Macaca mulatta: one gene and its partner. The protein of the gene in region 1 interacts with the protein of each later gene in a biochemical or structural test. Links are inferred from orthologs where the notes say so. Each region holds a gene or a part of one and is shown on either strand. Other genes may lie near its edges.

Evidence for each region.
Region 2: the proteins of SYTL4 (region 1) and RAB8A form a complex in vitro, tested with the Homo sapiens proteins (2 studies listed by BioGRID). The link is inferred for Macaca mulatta from reciprocal best matches to the Homo sapiens genes SYTL4 and RAB8A.

The regions. Positions count from the first base shown.
Region 1 is NC_133426.1:107,583,203-107,587,511, forward strand, and holds the start of SYTL4 (synaptotagmin-like protein 4), read right to left. Parts: upstream 2,888-4,309; 5' UTR 2,771-2,887; intron 2,273-2,770; exon of another isoform or gene 2,179-2,272; intron 1-2,178. UniProt on the Homo sapiens protein: Modulates exocytosis of dense-core granules and secretion of hormones in the pancreas and the pituitary. Interacts with vesicles containing negatively charged phospholipids in a Ca(2+)-independent manner.
Region 2 is NC_133424.1:16,585,408-16,589,817, forward strand, and holds the start of RAB8A (ras-related protein Rab-8A), read left to right. Parts: upstream 1-1,435; 5' UTR 1,436-1,448; coding exon 1,449-1,572; intron 1,573-1,922; exon of another isoform or gene 1,923-2,514; intron 2,515-4,410. UniProt on the Homo sapiens protein: The small GTPases Rab are key regulators of intracellular membrane trafficking, from the formation of transport vesicles to their fusion with membranes.

The DNA of each region.
Region 1 (4,309 bases):
GCCAAATTCCTAGAGTGGTAATGCCATTCATTCATTAACAAATATTAGTATGCATCTATGATGTACCAAGGACTGTTCTGGGTCCAAAAGTCTACCGGTGAATACAACAGACAGCAATCCCTGCCCACAGGGTGTTTATGTTATGGTGGGTGAGGGAGTGGCAGGGCAGACAATAAGCGAGAAAAATGTAATAAGGTAGGGAAAGGGCATATGGAACGTTCAGAGAAGGGATTACACGTTTAAATAGGGTGATCAGGGCAAACTTGTAGCCGTGGTATTTCAAGCGCCTCAGGAAGGTGTCTTCTGTACTCTCAACCCCACCATCACTACACCTCAGCACCTTGAAGGAATGGCATGGTACATCCGGTTACTGGCACAAATATTTGCCAATATCTTATATTTAAGACAAAGGGAGCTCCAAGATCCAGACCTTGCCCTTAGAGAACTTACAGCCTTCCAGGTGGAAAAACAACTAAGCAGTGTTAAGGGCTGTACTGAGGTGTAAACAAAGTGCTTTAGGACACAGGATAACTGGCAATTCTGCTTGGGGGAAGAAGTATGTGTTCAGTAAGGCCGTTCCAAAGAAGGTGACTTTAGAACTCAATCTTGAGGGATGGATAGGAATTAATGTCAGGGGAATGGGCATGGGGGAGGAAAGTTAGCTTTTTAGGAAGAAAAAAAGGAACAGTTTGAGCAAGGTCCCAGAGCTGGGAATAGGGAGGACATTTTCTTCCTATCCCTGCCTGTGGTACTCCATCCATCCCATGACAAAACTAGCACACGATCACCCTCAAGCTCTCTGGTATGGCTGTCAGGAAATCCCTATCACTTATTTCTCCCCTAGCCAGCAGGAGAGGAAGAAATTGAGTCAGGCGCACATCCCTGGAATCCAGGGTTACCCTCCTCTAACTTCAAGACAATTACCACAGAGCTGAGAACCCGGGAGATTTCACTCATCTAGGTACACTCAGGGATGTGTACTTATAGTGGTAATGTGGCAACTGGCCCATGTCAGAAATGAAGTGGGTAAGACATCAGTAAGGTAAGTAGTCCATAGTCTCGGCAGTGAATCTAAGGGGGAATCAAGGAGCAAAACATATACTTGGAAGGAAATTTTTTAATCACTTAGTCCTCATTCATGAGCTATTCAGTGCTCCCAACATCCAAGACAATAGAGGTGGTGTGACAGGATAGGAACACAAGCTCTGCCTCCGAGATTGTGAGGGCAAGGCACTTACCCTCTAAGTCTCTTTTTCATCATAATATGGTTATAACTGTAGCACCTATTGTATAGAGTTACTGGGAGGATTGCATTTTTATGTAAAGAACTTATCACAGTGTCTGGCTCAATGGAGCCTAACAACCAGAGCCTAACAAGCTCAGAGAGCCGGAATGCTACATATACTCACAGATCAGTTACCCCAGAACAGGCCTCCGAGCTCCATTTCACTGCTCTGACCAAGAGTGAGACACCTGAAATCGTGTTAGCAGAAATGTTCATCCCCTGCCCAGACAGAGCCTCACAAGCCAAGTTGGTGTGCTTTTCTACTAGGGTGCTAAAAACCAAACCACCAAAAATGCGGAAAACTTCATCAAGGCCACATCTCTGCATTGAGCATTGTTCCCACAGCGACAAAAGTCTTAAGTCATTAATACCGCAATATTAATAGATTTATGAGAGGTGGGGGTGGGGAGCTTAAAGAGCAGAAAAGAAGCCAGTTAAATATAGGAGGTCCAGGATGTACAGAAGACTCATTTTTTGCCACAAATATACAAGGTCTAGGGTCAACCCTGCCAAGAGCAGTACTCTGGAATTTTACGTCCTCTAGTCCTGAAGAAGAAGGGTACTGGGGGAAGAAAAGCTTGGTTAATTAGAAACTCACCACTTTTCAAGCCACCAGAATTCTAACCAAATGATTTCACCACCCCAAATCCCATCTCAATGTTAAGGGTTGGAGGAACACCTTTTTCTGCCCCATTACAAACCATCACAGGAGACAGAAGCATTCTGTGCCCCTTCTGAGATCTCGGGGACCCTCCTCCAGTACCAGGTCTCTCACAGCCTGCTTGAAGAGCGGCAAGATAAACAGCTCCACAGCACGTAGCCAGGTCCCCAGCCCCAAGCGCAGAGGGAGCCCACTGAGGCAGGACTCCGGCCGACCAGCCTCCAGCCTTTACCTGTGGCTGACTGGCCAACGCCAGAGAAGCCGACGCCGAGATGTCGGAGGTCCGAAGAGAGTGCGGGTTAGCGACCCCGCTCGACGGCCAAGCGCTGCGAGAGAAACCCACGAAAAGGTGACTGCACGCCTTGGAGGGCGCAGTTCCCGCTAGGAGCTCGGCCCCGCCCCCGCCCCCAGGGCCAGCTCTCGGGAGGGGCACCAGCTCGGGCTGGCGGGAAAAGCCCGGGCACTCCGCGCGAGGGGAGCCGGAGAGGAGAGGGGAGGCGGCTCCCAGAGGGGCACAGCCCGCATTAGTGCTAGGTGGGTCAGGGAAGGGGCCAGAAGAAGCCCTAGAGAAAGAAAAGTGGCCGGGAGGGACCGCCCAAGCAGACGGGAGTCCAAGCCTGGGGGGTGCGGTCGGGAGAGGCGGACGGGGAGAGGGAAGACGAGGTCAGCTAGGGAGAAGGAAAAACTAGGGGAGCAGAGAGCAGGTAGGGAAGACGCACGACCCCGATATGGGGGTGGGGGCGCTTCAGCAGCGAAAAGGAGCTGGGGGTCCAGAAGGAGCCCCCAACCGAGGGCGAGGGGGCGGCCGCTGGCTGCTGACCTACCTGTCACCTGCAACAGGTGCCTCCAGAGAGCTAGACGTCCCAGTGCCGGTTTCGAGGGAGGGTCTCTGGCTCCGGGAAGATCGCCACCCAGCTCCGGCGGCCGGCCCTTCTCACCCTCCCGGGAGGCGGAAAAAGCTGCAACTTTCCCTGGAGCTGGGAGGAGCTGGACTCTTAAAGGGGCCGCACAGCGCCCCGGGCTCCTTAGTAGGGGGCCGCTCAGCCCGAAAGGGAGCTCTGGGACCCAAAGCCTTGAGACACAAGAGGAATGAATGTCCTTCCAGGTTAGGAGTGGGAGCCTAGGGACCGAGGATAGGGGTCTAACACTAGACGTGCCTCCCCACCCCCTTACTTCCATCTGTTGGTCGTTCCCTTAGATGGTGAAATCACCTGCCCCTTTCATTCTGCTGAGTCAAAAGTTGTCAAATTGTCTCACACTTCTAAGGAGATAAAAGAATATGAACTATCTAATTTGGGTAAGTAAAATATGATACCATTCTGATCCTTTAACTTATGGCCTTTTATGGCAAATTGTCTGTCTAAAATAGAAACGTTTTGGGCAAAGGAGTAGACTAAATTCACACATACACACTCAAGAACACAACTGGTTAAAATATTCAACTCACTAGTAATCAAAGAAAAGCAAATTAGAACAATAATGAGATTATTTGGCAAAGAGTTTTGTTTTTTATTTTTTAAATAACACTTAATGATGACAAAGTAGCCACCAAACAAGCTCTCATAATTGCTGATAGGAGCATATGTTGGTTAAAAACCCTTTTAGAAAGCATGTGAGCAGTATATATCAATAGACTTTAAAATGTTTATACCTCCCCAGTAATTGCAGATTCCCCTCCCTCTCTTTCCCATCCCTCTCCCCCTCATTTCACATCAGCAATTAAACATGCTCAAGTATCTACCATCTTAAAACAATATCCTCCCTACACAGGAGGTCCCTCTTCAGGTCCTCTTTATGGGCAAATGTATTGAAAACATACTTTACAGGTGAAATTGCAATTTTTATTCCCTTACGTCTCATTCATTTCTCAGCTCTCAGCAGTCTGGCTTCCTTCCCCCACTGAAACTTCTCAATGAGATAAAAAACCAATGACCCTCAGTGTCGATAAATCCACAAATAAGTAAGGTATTTTTGGTCCTTATTTTGCTTGACTTCTCCCCTACATTTAACACTGTTAACCATTTCCTCCTCCTTGAAATGTTCTATGGCATCTATGACATTATACTCTTGCTTTTCCTCCTACTCCTTTGCCCTCTCCTCAGTGACCTTTGTAGGCCACTCTTCTGCTATCTGACCTCTGAAAGTCAGACATTCTCAGGGCTAGGATACATATACTCCCTCCCCCAAATAATCTTTTTCACTCACTTGGCTTTAATTATCGTATATATGGTCACAACTCTAATTCTATAACTCTACCCAGACCGCTTTATTGAGTTCTGTTTTCTTGACATCTCCACTTGAATGTCTTGCAGACACCTCAAATTCAACACATCCAAAGTTAAACCTATCATCTTTTCTCTTAA
Region 2 (4,410 bases), on another chromosome or scaffold:
GGGATTTCACCGCGTTAGCCAGGATGGTCTCGATCTCCTGACCTCGTGATCCGACCGCCTCGGCCTCCCAAAGTGCTGAGATTACAGGCGTGAGCCACCGCGCCCGGCCTTTTTCTTTTTTTGAGAGGCTTCTCGCTCTGTCGTCCATGCTGGAGTGCAGTGGGACGATCACCGCTTACTGCAGCCTCAAACTCCTGGCCTCCCAAAGCACTGGGATCACAGGTGGCAGCCACAGCCCCGGCCTGTTTTTTCAGTGTTGAGAGTCCTGGCCCCTAGATAGGAACAAGCATCCTCACTGTTCTAAAGCATCCTCACTGTTCTAAACCCCCCGGGCTGGCCCGGACAACTCCTAAAGCGGCCGAGGGCGGACCCTGAGGAGGCCGGCGCGCGCTTCGGGGCATAGCTTGTGGCGGTGAAGCCGCTCAGGTGGCGGAGGCCTTGGGTATCTGTAAGCAGGTCGCTAGGCCGCAGACCTCGGAACTCGTCTTGGGTCACTTTTATTTATTTATTTATTTTTGAGATGGAGTCTTGCTCTGTCGCCCAGGCTTGAGTGCAAAGGCGCGATCTCGGCTCACTGCAACCTCCGCCTCCCAGATTCAAGCAATTCTCTGCCTCAGCCTCCCAAGTAGCTGGGATTACAGGCGCCCGCCACCACGCCCGGCTAATTTTTGTATTTTTAGTAGAAATGGGGTTTCACCATCTTGGCCAGGCTGGTCTTGAACTCCTGACCTCGTGATCCACGCGCCTAGGCCTCCCAAAGTTCTGGGATTTCAGCCACCGCGCCCGGCCCGGGTCACTTTTCGAGTATACAGTGTCTCCTCTCTCCTTCCTCCGTCGGCCCCCGCTGCCCCGACTCGGAGGCCGCAGATCAGGTTGAGAGCGCTACCATGGTTTCCCGCGCTCGCCTCGGGGCCTATTGCGCCTGCGCGAGTTGTGACGGCGGGACCCAGAGATACCCGCCCCAAGTACAGGATTGCGCCCTCTGCCGTCGCCTAACGGAACTCCGGGCGCTCGTGCGCACGCACCCCAAGCCCCGCCCCCCAGGCTGCCGGCGCGCGAGCCGTTGGCGACGCTCCCTGCCTTCCCTCTCCTGTAGTGGGGCGGGGCCGGGGCGCCCGAGTAGGGGGTGGAAGGCGGGGGCCACATAATGCCACGCCCCCGCCTCGTCCCCATTTGAAGCCCCACGACTCTTCACTGCTGGTCAATCAGAGCCCGTCCTCTCCCTAGTGCCGGCCAATGGGAGGTGCGCTCGGGCTGCTTCCGGCTCCGCGCTCCATTCGCCCCCTCCCCAGGTCTCCCCGCGACTGGCGGGACGCAGGGGCGGGCGTCGGCCGCGGTGACGCGCAGCGGGCCTGGAGCCAATAAGGGGCGGGCTCGGCGCTGATGGACGGTGCTGGTGGCCAGTGGAGAGGCGCTGGCCGCACTTCCCGTCGGGGAGAGAGTGTAATATGGCGAAGACCTACGATTACCTGTTCAAGCTGCTGCTGATCGGGGACTCGGGGGTGGGGAAGACCTGTGTCCTGTTCCGCTTCTCCGAGGACGCCTTCAACTCCACTTTTATCTCCACCATAGGTAGCGGGACCGGGGAGTGGCTGGGGGCGCCAGAGGCCCGGGCTGGGCGCGCCCCTGAGGGGCTGGGGCTGAGGGATCTACCGGGCTGGACTGGCCGAGGGCGCTGAGAGGGTCGAGGGGGCCTAAGGGGAGAAGAGCAGTCGCCTGTACCGCCGTTCGGAGGTTCCTGGGCCGTGGTGGGGGAGACCAGGTGCCCATTTTGCAGATGGGGAGACTGAGGCTCCGACCCTCAGCCCGCTCGTTAGGGAGTGTTATGTCCTGGGCTGGGGTCTTCGCGCCCGTCCTCTCGATCTGTCCTAGCAGCAGCCCTCAAAGCGGTTCTTTTGAGGCTCCTGCCTTACAGAAGTGGAAACTGAGTCATGGGGAATTGGCCATGGGAAAAAGACGGTGACATCTCACCTTAATGAGCATTTACTATGTGCCAAGTGCTTCCCGTGCATTTTCACACTCTCCAGTTCTCGGTGTTAAGTGCTGTTTTGAGCCCGTCTCACAGATGAGGAATTTGAGGCTCAGGGTGGGCCTGGAACTTGCCCAAGGCCACACAGTCTGCAGGTGGTGAGAATGGGATTTGATGGAATTTGAACCTGGCTGTGTCTCAACCCAAAACTCGAGGCTTAGCTATCCTAGAGAGATGCCACCTCACACTCCCAGCTGATGACAAGCTCAGCTAATGCACCTTGGAGCCGGAACTGTAACCCACACCATTCCTGCTCTTTTCTCTGGAGTATTCAGAAGTTGAACCCCTCTCCCTGACCATTCTTCCCCTCATAAGTGTATTTTCCTCTAGAAGGAATGATAAGAGGAGTCAGGACCTTTTCCCTGCCCACATTTCATCCTGCTCCAGGATGACAGTAATGACAAGTGACAGCACTGCCTGCCCTGGAACCTGTCATCTGCAAGAAGATGCAAGATAAAAGCCTCAGCGAGCAACTAAATCAGCCACTGCCACAGACAGCCTTGACTTCCCTATCAAAGGGCCCAAGACTCCGGTTGTCACTTTAGAACAGCTTTTCCCGTAGGGCCAGCCCACATTGTGGTTGAACAGAATTGGCTTGGTGCATCTCAGTTGTGCCGTCTGCAGAAGTGGAACTGACCTCTCTCAGTGCCACAAAAGCAGTCCTGGCCCACAATGAAAAGGTTAGACCGGGGAGTAACACCAGTCTGAGTGGCCTGGGAGCTCTGTAGCCCTGCTAGGGATGGGGAAAATGGGGGAACGGTCACTAAGGAGTTTATTCCAAGTCACGAAAACGTAGGGAATGGCCTTTGCTTTACTGTGTCACTTCAACAGAATCATGTTTTCTCCCTGAACCCCACGATAATGTGCTGATTCCATTCTTGCCCCCCTCCAGGAGCTGTGCTTTTTTTATTTTATTTTATTTTATTCTATTTTATTTTATTTTATTTTTTGAGATGGAGTCTAGCTGTTTTGCCCAGGCTGGAATCCAGTGGTGCTATCTCGGGTCACTGCAACCTCCGCCTCTCGGGTTCAAGCAATTCTCCTGCCTCAGCCTCTCTAGTAGCTGGGACTATAGGCACCCGCCACCACGTCCAGCTAATTTTTGTATTTTTAGTAAATATGAGTTTCACTATGTTGGTCAGGCTGGTCTCAAACTCATGACCTTGTGATCCACCTACCTTGGCCTCCCGAAGTGCTGGGATTACAAGCATAAGCCACTGCACCCAGGATAGCTGTGCTTTATAAAACAGTTATATGCCTGATGTAAAGTAGAGAGAACTGACTGGAAATCGTTACGTCTGGTTTCCAATTGCTGTTTGCCCTTGAACATACACTGCCCCTCTCTGAGCCCTGCTGTCTTTAGAGCAGGAGTGACGCTGTCTCCTGGGCTAGTGCCCTGGTGGTTGAGGATTAGAATTAGACAATAAGGGGTTATCACCGTAACCAGAGGCCATCTCGAAGAAGCAAATGAATGAATGGCTCCTGCAGTGACAGCATCCAGCCTCTGAAGACAGATGGTTCTGAATTCTTCCCCCTCCCCAACTCCAAGGCCAAACTTTAGGGTAACTCTTGTGCCCCAGCCGATCAAGAAGTGGCGTTAATTCAGCCTGGGCAACATAGCAAAACCCCATCTCTATAAAAAATAAAATAAAATTAGCCGGGCATACTGGCTTACCCGTATAGACCCAGCCACTTGGGAGGCCGAGATGGGAGGATTGATTGAGCCCAGGAGGTCAAGGTGCAGTGAGCTGTGATGGCGCCACTGCACTCCAGCCTGGGCAACAGAGCGAGACCCTATCTTAAAAGAAAGAAAGAAAGAAATTATGTTAACTGTGGGCAGACTGTGGCTTGCCTTCACTCAGATCCCAGTTTCCCGGCCTCAGCACCTTCCCCACAAACCCCCCCTCTTTTTTTTTTGAGATGGAGTCTCGCTCTGTCACCCAGTCTGGAGTGCAGTGGCATAATCTCGGCTCGCTACAACCTCCGCCTCTCAGGTTCCAGCAATTCTCCTGTTTCAGCCTCCTGAGTACCTGGGATTACAAGTGCCCACCACCATGCCCAGCTAATTTTTGTATTTTTTTTTTTTTTTTTTTTTTTAGTAGAGACAGGGTTTCACCACGTTGGCCAGGCTGGTCTCGAACTCCTGACCTCATGATCCGCCCACCTTGGCCTCCCAAAGTGCTGGCATTACAAGCATGAGCCACTGCGCCCAGCCCAGACCCCCCCTCTTTAGAGTTACTTTGAGCTTTAAAGAGGCTGTCTTCCATTTGCAGATGAAGATGTGACTTGGTGAAAGTTACCTAGCAAGGTGAAGGTGGCACCTGACCCCAGGATCCCTCCCTCTCACCCCTTCATTCCCCTCCTTCCATTTGTAGCCTTCT